2 linked regions of the Danio rerio genome follow. The protein of the gene in region 1 purifies or fractionates together with the protein of each later gene. This does not show direct contact. Links are inferred from orthologs where the notes say so. Each region holds a gene or a part of one and is shown in the gene's direction. Other genes may lie near its edges.

The links. Proteins that work in one complex are often made in the same cells at the same time.
Region 2: the proteins of arhgef6 (region 1) and git1 purify together in Homo sapiens (affinity purification with mass spectrometry; 3 studies listed by BioGRID and IntAct, counting the BioPlex papers as one, with this or other methods). This does not show direct contact. The link is inferred for Danio rerio from reciprocal best matches to the Homo sapiens genes ARHGEF6 and GIT1.

Annotation. Positions count from the first base shown.
Region 1 is NC_133189.1:36,337,529-36,343,337, reverse strand, and holds part of arhgef6 (rho guanine nucleotide exchange factor 6), read left to right. Parts: intron 1-606; coding exon 607-693; intron 694-809; coding exon 810-891; intron 892-3,545; coding exon 3,546-3,919; intron 3,920-4,350; coding exon of another isoform or gene 4,351-4,371; intron 4,372-5,809. UniProt on the Homo sapiens protein: Acts as a RAC1 guanine nucleotide exchange factor (GEF).
Region 2 is NC_133190.1:30,984,006-30,990,312, reverse strand, and holds the start of git1 (ARF GTPase-activating protein GIT1), read left to right. Parts: upstream 1-2,810; 5' UTR 2,811-3,262; coding exon 3,263-3,314; intron 3,315-6,307. Other genes in the region: ankrd13b (ankyrin repeat domain-containing protein 13B), read right to left, coding at 1-88. UniProt on the Homo sapiens protein: GTPase-activating protein for ADP ribosylation factor family members, including ARF1.

The DNA of each region.
Region 1 (5,809 bases):
ATTAAATAATAAAGTGACACATTCCACAACACTGATGTTTTTGGCAGACTGGCTTCAATATAAGCTGTTTTAGAGTAACAAGAAAGTTCTGAAACTTAATAGATTTTTTTTTTTTTACCACAGTGACTTCCTATATATCAAGATAAAGGAATTTTATTTTAGGAATTATCATCCCTCTTAAGAAAATAAAACTTAGTGTTATTAACCTAAAGTTATTTTAATAATTACTGTTGAAAATATCTGGGGTTTTTTGTTAGGATCGAACATTATTGTACCCGAATTTTGATATTGTATATTGTTATTGTTTTTATATTGCCATATTGTGTATATACTGCACAAAAGCTGTTTAAAATATTGTAACACTTTGGTTATGCATATGTTTAATATGTTTTATGTGTGTGAAAAGAATTGCATTTTAAATTTAATACAGACAACAGAATAGGATGTTGCGTCTTTGACCCATTTGATGTTTGTGTTTGTTTGCTGTAAGGCAGTACACCTGCATCCGTACCATGAACAGTGTGTAATGTAGTGGCAATTTACCTCATTTGTGCAGAAGTATTGAATTGTAAAATTACATACATTTCTTTCTTTTTTTTTCCCAAGGAAAAAGAAGAGAGATACTTCATGCTGTTTCCTAATGTGATAATCATGCTGTCTGCCAGCCCAAGAATGAGTGGTTTCATTTATCAGGTGAGTTATTTTTTCCTCTCTCTCCCTCTCTTTTGTTTTTAAATCAATCAGCATCTGTTATTTGTGAAGAAGGCTGAAGCGCAGAGCTTTTATTCATGTTTTTCTTCTCATCTCAGGGACGTTTGCCGCTGACAGGAACCTCTGTAACCAAACAGCCAGAGGATGCAGAGACCGGCCATTATGCCTTTGAGATCACAGGTTTGTTTCAGTCCATGTAAACACTTTTAGTGGGGTGTCACAGAATTCAACTGTCATTAATGTTGCTTTTTATAGTTAGTGCTGCCTGCTGCTCTACAAACTAGCAGCAGAATTTAAAATGACAAATAGACAGCATGCGGTTTATTGAAGGAGTATTTCACCTAAAGTTGAAAATGGTATTGTTTTTTTCTAACCTTTGTTTCTGTCCAAACCTGTTCAACACAAACAGAATTTTCTTGCAGGTGTTTCATTACAGTTCATAAAAAATACATCTGCCAATTTCCAGACAGGAATTTTTAAAAATGATTTAAAAGCCCATGATATCTAATACCCAGTATGATCATACATTCCGAGCAGTGCTTAATTTGTGAATTGAGAGGTCCCGGAACAGATCGGGGTAACTGATCTGGCATGATACCCTAGGATCCGTGGGGTGGGGTGTATACCGGAGGGGTGTCATGGACAAAAGTGAAGAGCAGGGGGGGTTGTCGCGGACAAAAGAGGCTTGCGGAGTCGCGGAAGAAAGTGAAAGTAAACAGCGGATGGGGGAGCAGGGCGTTTGAGGATGGGGATCAGTAAAATGAGGTGCCAGATCCAGCGTGTTCCGGTACAAATTAAGCTTCGATTCTGAGTCTAGTGAAGGTGTTATGTGAGTACTGAAAAATCATTGTACTCAATGAAACTACTTTGATTTCACAAATACAATTACAATACAATATTCAACAAACTCAATTCAATTCATGTATATTTATATAGTGCATTTGCAGTGTTGATTGTGTCAAAGCAGCTTAACATAGAAGTTCTAGTATATTGAAACTGTGTTAGTCCAGTTTTCAGAGTTGAAGTTCAGTTTAGTTCAGTTCAGTGTGGTTTAATTTTCATCAAGTCCAAACACTGAAGAGCAAATCCATCAATGTGCAGCTCCACAAGTCCCAAACCAAGAAAGCCAGTGGCGAGGAACAAACTTGACCAATTGACGAAGGTGAAGGAAAAAACCTTAAAAGGAACAGGCTCAGTGGGGTAAGACCATTTCCCCTCTTGCCAAACTACTTGTGCAGAGCTGCAGTCAAGGTGCTGGAGGCTGGAGGTCATCGGCGAGTATACAGCTGACCCACGGGATCAAGGTGAAGACTGGTCTGTCACTGGGTCTTTCAGAAATCAGTCTCATGCTCTCCACTCCTCCGTGACCGCCACAGCATTAGCTCAGGATACGGCCTGGTCCAGGATTATGGATACCTTGGCATTATTTCTTCACAGGTCATGGATCACATCAATGGCACTGCATAATCTTTAAAAGCCTCAGGATAAGTATCCCCAGGTGGAAAAGAGAATAAACAAAATAATTAGCATAGCTGCTATTCATAGTGTCTCAGAAATATTATCAGGAACTTCCAACAATATGAACTTCAATACTATAAAAGTAAGTGTAAATGCTGAGAAATACTCACGCACTTGTTTACATATTTTATCTATAAGCAAAAAAGGTGCAATGTTGCATATGACATTATAAGGGTTTTTCATTTTTGATGGTTTAGAGCCTGACTTGTCCATATAAGTGCAGCGTGAAAATACTGACTTTTTTGTGTTTTATGTGACATAATAAAGAATATTTTTTTGCAAACAATATTACTGAATATGAGTAAGTTCCAAAATGTTCATAAATCCAGAATCAAGCAAAAAGTGCTTCAGGGTTAATTTATGTGTCAGTACACATTGCAGCGTAGGTTATTGTATCAAAAATCTGAAAAATGAAAGGAACAAACACGGCACACGGTTGGCTATACTGTGGTATTGTTGTAAAAATAAGCTTTAACCCTTTATTCCCTGCAGCAGAATCTCCATATGTGATCAACATCTTCATGTCATGATCAGTCTCGTGATCCCCCACTCTCTGCTAGTGTCTGAAGGAAAAAGTGCATTTTACAGGATCCGCATTTCATATTTGGTCATACCATGTCGACGTCGACACGTTCAAGCAAAAGATTGGGACCCAACACAATTCATTTATTCGACTATTAGTTGACTAATAGTTGACTATTTCCTTAAAGAATCAATATTTCATACTGTGCACTTTCAGATTTAAACCTCAGCTGGATGTTTTCATTCACTTAGTAATGTGGAGGCCCCCCTGCAGGGATCACTGACGGGGCCCCCAGTTGGGGAGGTGGGGGTGGAGCGACAACGCGGGGAAGCCTTCACAAACTGAGGAGCGATCACAAACTGAGAAGCAATCACAAACTAAGGAGCGGGAAAGGGGGCGGGGTGGAGCGACAACGCAGGGAAGCCTTCACAAACTGAGGAGAAATCAAGTCAACTTTATGGTATGAGCTATGACCGAGCTTGACGCGGTTCGGCGCCAAACAATTAGAATGAAGTAGTCCACCGCTTGAGAGGAGTTCAGAGAATACAGACCTGTGAACTTTGGTTCCGACCACAGTTGTTTTCAAGAGTTTGATTATTGCGGTTGCCGGATTTTCGCGGGCCCGTCCGCTACGCCACTGGCTGTTACACACTGCATGGAAAAGCATTTTCAAAAACCCATCACTTTTCAGTTGCTTTTTTAGGACTGAAAATTTTCTAACAAATCTTGCTTAAACAGTTTAAAGTACTTCAGTCTTGTCTCTTCCTTATTTGCTGACTATTTTTTTTTTTAGGTGGCTCAATAGATCGGACCATGGTGTTCTGCAGTAGCTTACAGGAGCAACAGGATTGGTTAGAACATCTTCATCCTTACATAAAGGTAGGAAGTCCATTTGAAACAGTGCTGAAGGTAATAGCGTTTTTTGCAGCTTTCACCTCTATCCAGTTGAACAGTAAGTCAAACGTCATGTTCTTGTGTATTTTACAGAGTGTTGATGTTAAACCTTTAACCATGCCTGGCACGTCTTCCCACCACTTGCACGGTTTCGGTACGACTGCGGTTAACCGAGGACCTCTCGAACCACCTAAAATCACCAAGCCCTGGTCTTTAAGCTGCCTGAGACCCGCGCCGCCCCTGAAGCCCTCCGCCGCTCTCGGCTATAAAGAGGTACGCTTTCTGGAAAACAGTCATATGACATGTTGAGTGGGAGCGTAATTTACCTCTGTGCGTTCTTGGTGGTCCTAACAGGAAACCGAACCACAGTGAACTGATTGTGAGTGTTAAAGCTGGTAGCCGCCTTCTTGTTTTTCACCACACATTGCGGTGGAGGTGTTATCTCACAGAAAAGTGGAATGTTTGATGGTTTTTGAGTTGCATATCAACTACTTCTACCCAAATCCCACTCATACAACTCTGATTGTATTAGAACGGGTGTTAATGGTGCTCTTCTACTTAAGAAACGCATGTAAAATCTTCAGTTTTTCGAAATGATCTGAATTAATGTTCACCTTTCACTGATCTGTCCATCATATTTCTGTCAGGCTCTTCTTTTATTCTCATACACATCTTCATTCTCTCTCCATTTTCTGCTTCTTTAGAGGATGTCTTATATCCTGAAGGTAAGCGTAGATTATGTGAGTTTTTGTGTGTGTGCGTGTGTGTGTGTCCGTGTGCTTGGCTAGCACTGGTGTTACACGTTTAATCCAAGCTTTTCTGTTTCATTCTGTGATAAGGCATTTCCTGTGTCTTTTTGTTTGACTTGTAATCTCATCCTCCTCTGTCTTCGATGATCTTTGCTTAAGTTGCGTTTGAGAACTTTGCTATGTTGCTATCTATTCATTAGGAGGAAGGGAGTTCCCATGCAACATCATCTACTGAAACATCCTGCTTCTCAAACTTCATACATCGATATGTCTGCAAAACCCACCAACCCTTTTCCTGCATGAAATAAACTCTTGGTAGAACTTCTGAATAAGTCACGCATGTGCATACATTATAGGAAAAATATGAATTTGATTAAATTAATTGCATGAAATTACCTTTAGAAGTCAATGTACAACTTTTGTTTTATTTCTAATTTAATAAATGATGAGACACTAGAAATCAAAAGCTGCTGAGGCCTGAAGTGTTCAATTAATATACACTGTCCAGCTCTTTCAAAAATCAAGAACAGTTATTCTGAAGCAGCTTTTTACTCATTTCATGCTGCTTTCGCTTGACAAGCGTGGTAAGAGGCTCTCAGAAACATGCTTTCCGTTTGTTGCTACTCTATGTTTCAGTTGCTCTGATTGGTGAGAAGAGCCAACAAGGTGATTGATCAGATACTAAAAGACTTTTTGAAGATGTACTTTATTATTACTAAAGCACAGTCTTAAAAGTCGTGTTGGTGTGGATTGGAGATAACATTTTTGTTCTCTGCATCAAATCAAATAACTTCATATGCGTAAAAAGCAAATTAAATACATTGCTCTTTAAATGTTTCAGAAGACCTTTCTGTAAATTATGTCAATGCTTGGGTAAAATAATGTTTACTCAGTATTCAGCTATGAACACAAAATCAAGGCCACAGATTCTAAAGACAGATGTACCACAAGACAAAATACTGTACCATGCAGCAAAAGCACTGGAAGATGGGCAATATAAAAAACATTAAATATTCTACATTAACTTTTACCAATAAAAAAAGAAAAGGAATTTTTATTTTTTTAATGGTGAATCTTAAATTGGCTCCTTGCAGGCTGCAATATCCCAAAAGCTTCAAATCAGTGTCTAGTTAATGGAGTTTCATTTGTTGCAGTCCCTAAATCAACCAGTAATCTATTTGAAATAAATGCAAGCATTGAATCAGATGGGTTGCTGTTTGTTACGCCCCATGTCGCCCGGAGGATGAAAAGGGCTAAACAAACAATTAAGACAACTCAATATTTTAAAAATTCCCCTGAGACGTTAGCTGCTATGGATCAACACAGACAATGGACTTAACAAAAAGTGGTTTGCTTTATTTACAGTAAAGGTGAAGGAAAAAAAAAATTTTAATCACCCAAAGCATATTTACAA
Region 2 (6,307 bases), on another chromosome or scaffold:
CTTTCTCCAGCTGCCGGTGTTTGTTATTCCACACCAGATAATGCAGGTGGTAGCGACTCTTCTCCGGAGTTTTTCTGGCAGAAATCATCCTCAGTGCATAGTTCGCCGCTGCTTTCTCCCCGTTCCGTTTCCCCTGCTGCTTTTGTGCGATATCAGTTACTTTTGTAAAGGGCGCGTGCTATATTGTTATTGCCGAGACGACCGATAAGGGCATTTCTCTCCCTTTTCTTCAACAGCATCCCTCTTTGCATAGTAGCTTGACATTCAGTGCGTCTGTGTTGAAAGGTAATTTAAAGCTAACGCTCTCCGGTCTGTTCTCCACTCCTCCTCGTCTGTTCTCCCTGTCACACACTGAAAGGCGCGCGCCCGCACGCTCGCTCGCGGAGGCTGAGGCAGGGCTCGCGTTTCCCAGACCAAAGAGACTCCCTGACTCCTCACACCTATGATGAGCCACTGAACTTCAGCGCGCGATTCTGTCATACATGCTGATGCTGATGCTGATGCTGCTTACTGCGCCATGGGAGAGAATATATAGAGTAATCATTTTGTGCTGCCATCTGTGTCTTAGTAGCCTACTAAGTCAATTCTGTAATTCTGTTTTACAGATAACAGCCTAATAGAACAGAAAGGGATGTTGTTTGTGCTGATTTGATCAATATTATGGACTTTAAGGGATATTTCATCATCCAATCTTGAAAATCCTGTCATCATTTATTAATTCATTTTCTTTTCGGCTTAGTCCCTTTATCAATCAGGGGTCGCCACAGCACAATGAACCGCCGACTTGTCCAGCATGTTTTACGCAACGGATGCCCTTCCAGTTTCTTTTTTTATACACCTTTAAAATGTTATTTTAAAAAAATGTTGAAAATCTGTATGGCTGATTAGCACTGTCTTTGTTTCCCAGTACTGGGTTGCAGCTGGAAAACATATGCCAGAATAGTTGGCAGTTCATTTCCCTGTGGCGACCCCCCAATAAATCAGGGACTAAGCCAAAGAAAAATGAATGAATGAATAAAAAACCTGTAACAACTGAGTTCCATATTTTTTTCTAAAGTTTCCAGGTTTCTACCATTATTTTACAAATCCTCTTTTGTGTTCAACAGAAAAGGATATAAAAGCAGGGTGGGTAAATTTACATTTTTGGCTGAACTACATTGTGTCAATGTAATAAGGTCAGATCAGCTAAAAAAAAACAGACAAAAAAAACAACTGAAATAAATTAATAGGAAAAGTTTATGAGAGGGAGTGGGTAATGCTGTTGCCTCACAGCTAGAAGGTAGCAGGTTCAAGTCTCAGCTGAGTCAGTTGCCATTTCTGTGTGGAGTTTGCATTTTCTCCCCGTGTTAGCATGGGTTTCCTCCGGGTGCTCCTGTTCCACCCACAAGTCCAAAGACATGCGCAATAAGTGAATTGGGTAAGTTAAAAATGTGTGTATGTGCGTGAATGAGTGTGTATGGGTGTTTCCCAGTGTTGGGTTGCAGCTTGAAGGGCATTCGCTGCGTAAAAAAATATTTTGGATAACTTGACAGTTCATTCTGCTATGGTAACCCATGATTAATAAAGGGACTAAGCCGAAAAGAAAATGCATGAATGAATGAAGTTTATGAATAATTTAACTTATGTGCATTTGTCTGGAGGAGTTTTATTAAATTCTTAGTATTAAAACCTGTTAGTCTTTTGTGCTACTATACTGTTCCTTTCTTCATTAGAGGGGTTTAAAATAATGTATGCCAATAACCTCAAACATGGTGGCACAGTGGCTTGGTGTTAAACACTGTCACAACACAGCAAGAAGCAAGGTTTGAGCCCCAGCTGGCTGGGTAAGTTGGTGTTTCTGTGTGGAGATTGCATGTTCTCCCCATGTTCGCATAGGTTTCCTCCGGGTGCTCTGGTTTCCTCCTTGGACCAAAGGCATGCGCTATAGGTGAATTCAATAAACTAAATTGGCCGTAGTGTTTGTGTGTGAATGAGTGTGAGTTTCCCAGTAACACCCATACACTCTTATTCACACACATACACTACAGACAATTTAGTTTATTCAATTTATCTATACGTGTCTTTGGACTTCTATACATATAATATAATAACCAAACCCCAAAAGTATATGCACTTTTCTTTTTCTATCTTATAGTTTGAAGATTTGTATTGGAATGAGCTAATGTAAATTGGGCCAAGAAAACAACACATTGTGCTGCAGTGGGTAGCGCTGTTGCCTTGCAGCAAAAAGGTCGCTGGTTCGAGCCTCGGCTGCATGGGTCATTTGGCATTCCCCGTGTTTACGTGGGTTTCTTCTGGGTGCTCTGGTTTCCCCCACAGTCAAGACATGCGCTATAGGTGAATTGGGTAAGCAAAATTGTCAGTGAGTGAATGTGAGAGTGTATGGGTGATTCCCAGTGATGGGTTGCAGCTGGAAGGGCATCCACTGCGTAAAACATATGCTGGATAAGTTGGTGGTTCATTCCAATGTGGCGACCCCAGATTAATAAAGGGATCTGAAAATAAAATGAATGAAGGAATAAATAGAATCGAATGTGGAGGACTAGTATAAATAAAATATATTAATGAGATGATATTCCTTCTAGAAACACGTTATTTTAAAGTAAAAATTCAGAAGAAACAAACTTTTTTTCTTTTTACTGAGTTAAATTTTTTTAAAGCCTATTAGGAGATAGTAGGCATGTAATTAAAGTTATGTAAAATTCATCTCCATACTGGTGGGCACGACTGCAGGGTCCCTCTGCTGGGTCGGCCCCCGCCTGTGCACTGACGACAGTGGGGCAAAAGAGAGAAAGCGAGAGGCAGACGTCAGAGAGAGGGATATGCAGCCCGCCATACAGAAGTGTATGGGGCAGTGGATGTAAATAAACCGTGTACAGTATCCATACTTTACTTATTCCCACCCCCTTTTGCCTAAGAGACGGGCTTGGATAATGATCGGGGTAAAAAGATTATGGGGGCCACTCAAAATTAAACTGATTACGTCCGAAATCTGATAACGTAAGGGGCCTTCTGAAAATCTCATTCATCTTTGGGAATCGCAAAGTCCTCGTAGCGGCACGACAGAAGACACCGCAGGAAAAAGGAAGGAGAGAAAGAGAGAGAGAAGGGTGAGGACCGGGAGCACTGGAGAGCTCGTCGCCGGCTTCCGGACATTTCGGGGCGGCATTAAAATCGCAGACGTCGCTCCTGGAGGGAAGGAAAACCAGATATCTTCAGCACTGGACTAAAATTTCTGGAAGCAGCAGCTTTTGATTCAGCGATGTCCAGGAAAGTCCAGAGAAGCGAGGTGTGCGCCGACTGCAGTGCACCAGGTAAGGCTGAGATTTATGGATCAATGCGTTGTTGTGAGCCATGGCTGTCCGGGACTCGCCTGACCGCGGCGGATTGCGGAGGAGTACCAAGCCCGCGTATGCGAAGGGATACTGGGTTAAGCGCGCCAGGAAAAATGCCTAAAATTAAGGCCGATTCTGCGGCCCAACAAATCAGATTTTAAACGCACTCTTAACTTATATGTATCTTTGTAATGCGGTTGAACAGTGGTTGTTCAAGAAGTACAATCTTTTAGTGTATTCACAAAACTTGCATGACTTTAAATTTGGACTGCTTATTCCTGCTTTGCTGCCGTGGCTAAAGTTTTACCCCTTCTCGTTGTTAGCACCCATCCCAAGTTAAGTTGACAAGCCTGCGAGGTGCTGTCAATTAAAATGACCATATTTACTCCACACTTAGATTTGTTTATATGCAGATATTGTAGCGACAGCTTACTATATATTTAAATTGTGTTTTAGTAAATACTCCGCACTGAAAGCTCTATATATCGAACAATGCTAACTGTCAGTAGGCTAGGCTTGGTTGCTAAGTAGCCTGCGGACTCTCATTTGAGTCTCTTCCCAGTTTTAAGTAAAACACGTTTGTGTATTTAGAATCAGTTTTTATGACTGCAAGAGGTCCTACTTAAACATATTCGGTACATTTTTTGCGAATTTAGTTAGTATGAACATGGGTTGAGAATAGATAGATAGCTAACTAGCGCTAGCAGGTTGACAGGACACATCTAACGTTAACTCTGACGTGGGTCAGTGTTCGCTTCTGTTTGCTCTTGTCCACTGAATTGCTTCTAGATAACGGTTGTGTTTGTTATTCTTTATAATAAAATTAATAGTGGTTTAAAATATTATTAGACAAACTGTTTTTGTAGTTACCGCATGGTAACGTTAACCTTAAATTAACGATATGCTACATTAACCGTAGTTTAACTTTGGTTTGACAAATTGTAGTCAATGCACTAAAACATGTGTAATAGACTTTTATTATAGAAAAACTATGAATAATTTGATAGTATGTTGAGTTAACTGATAGTATTGCATTTAAATGCTGGAAAAAATGCTTAAATCTGGTCTTTATTTTACTGGTCTTAGTTGGTCTCCCAGTATGGCCAAGCTGTTGTGTAGCTGGTCTCCAAGCTGGTCTCTCAGCATGACCAGCTTAAAAAGTCCCTAAAAACCCACCTAAAACTAGCCAACAGACCAGTTTGACCACTTGGACACCACCTAAAAGCTTTAAACCAGCTTAAACTGTTTTTAGCACAACTGCCATTTAAAACGTATCGCTACATATTTCCATATTTCTGTAATAATTATGAGCAGTGGGTGAAATCTATCAGCGGTAATATACAAATTTAAGATGTTTTTAGATTTTTTTCTTTTCAAAGTTACTAAATGGGTTTGTCCTAAATAGAGCATAGGTTTAAATTATTTATAGCCATTTCTAGTTCCATCATGCATGCCTTAAGACACAATTTCCTGAAACCAGGGTCAACTTCCCTCTTTTTCCCTATAGCATTTTTATTTTAAATAAATAGGAACTATGTCGTTCTCAGCCATTTGTCCTCAAATGCATTGCTCAATAAATTACCAACAAGCTTAAACCAACCAAATAAAGACACAAGACCGCCTTCAGTTGTTTACAAAACATGTTTTAAATGCTGCTCAGCTGTGCCGTCACTTCAAGCCCACCCTTGGCCTTGCTCATTTAGTCTCACCGTCCCCATGGGGGGACCGAGGGGTGGTACGGGGGGCATGACAGCTGCTCTCTCATCCACAGCTGCTCTCTGCTCTCCACAAATGTACAAGTGTGTCTTGTTTTTGACAGTTTAGTTCTGTTTCACCTCTTTGGCTACCTGCAGTCTTGCTGTGAGCTCGACCAAAAGCTGTCACCGATGCCTGTGGGTTCAGTTATCAACAAAAATCCCCACCGATAGTAGTCATACAGTGCAAGAGCCAACATATTTATGGCAAGAGCGGTTTCTAGAAACAAAAATCACTGACAACATGTGCATGCATGTTTTTTTTTTATTACACTATGTTAAACCTAGCAGCAAATTGATTTGAGATTAGTTTAAGCTGTTAATGTTTACAAATGTCATTGATAATAACAATAATTAAAGCACAATCGATTTTTACGTTTTGAAGTATGTCATCTCAATGCATGTCTTCATCTGAATTTATCTGTTAGTGTGTGTGTAATTAAGTTCAATACTATTTTACATGGTGTTCTGTTGATTTATAGTTTGTTATTCAGTATTAATTTGAAGGTTTATCGTTTAATTAATAATTTATCAGTAAGTATGGTCTATCTAGCTATCGGTTTTAACAAAATCCAACATCGATTGACCTCTACTACTGCAGTGCACTAGAGCTTGTCATTTTCGTGTTTAACATGTTGTTGGAATGTAGATAATGGTAAGTGTGTTGAAGGCAAGTAACTGATGACTGAGAAAGGAAGAGGAGGAGGAGGTGGAGGGATGGTGGGCAGACAGACGGATGTATTCTGGTAAATGTGTTATTGGAATGAATGAATGTGGGGAAGATTGTCAATTGCATGGTCACTGAGGGCTGAATGACGCCCTGTGTGAAGAGTCTGTGTGTGTGTGTTAGCGAGTGGTGTGTAATTTCATTAGATGCGAAGAGAAACTCGGGTTTGAAGATGCTTCTGTTAATGTTATGAAGCACTTTTAGAAAGGATGAGGGTGTAAGTTGGCATCATCTTTGATTTTTCCCACACACAGGTGCTTGGCTTCGTTTCTGTTAATGTTCATATTTAGACCAATAAACAAGTTTATGGCACTGATTTATTTTTAATTAAGCCCAAAAATATTAGGTTCTTCTCTGCATGCTAGAATTTTTTTGGCTGTAAAATGAACATTTGCTGGATTTAAATAAGCCTTTCCTTCAGTAAAAAAAAACTGTCATCTTCAAAAATCCATTTTAATTTTTGATGAATGTGGGAGTTTAGTTCACATGAA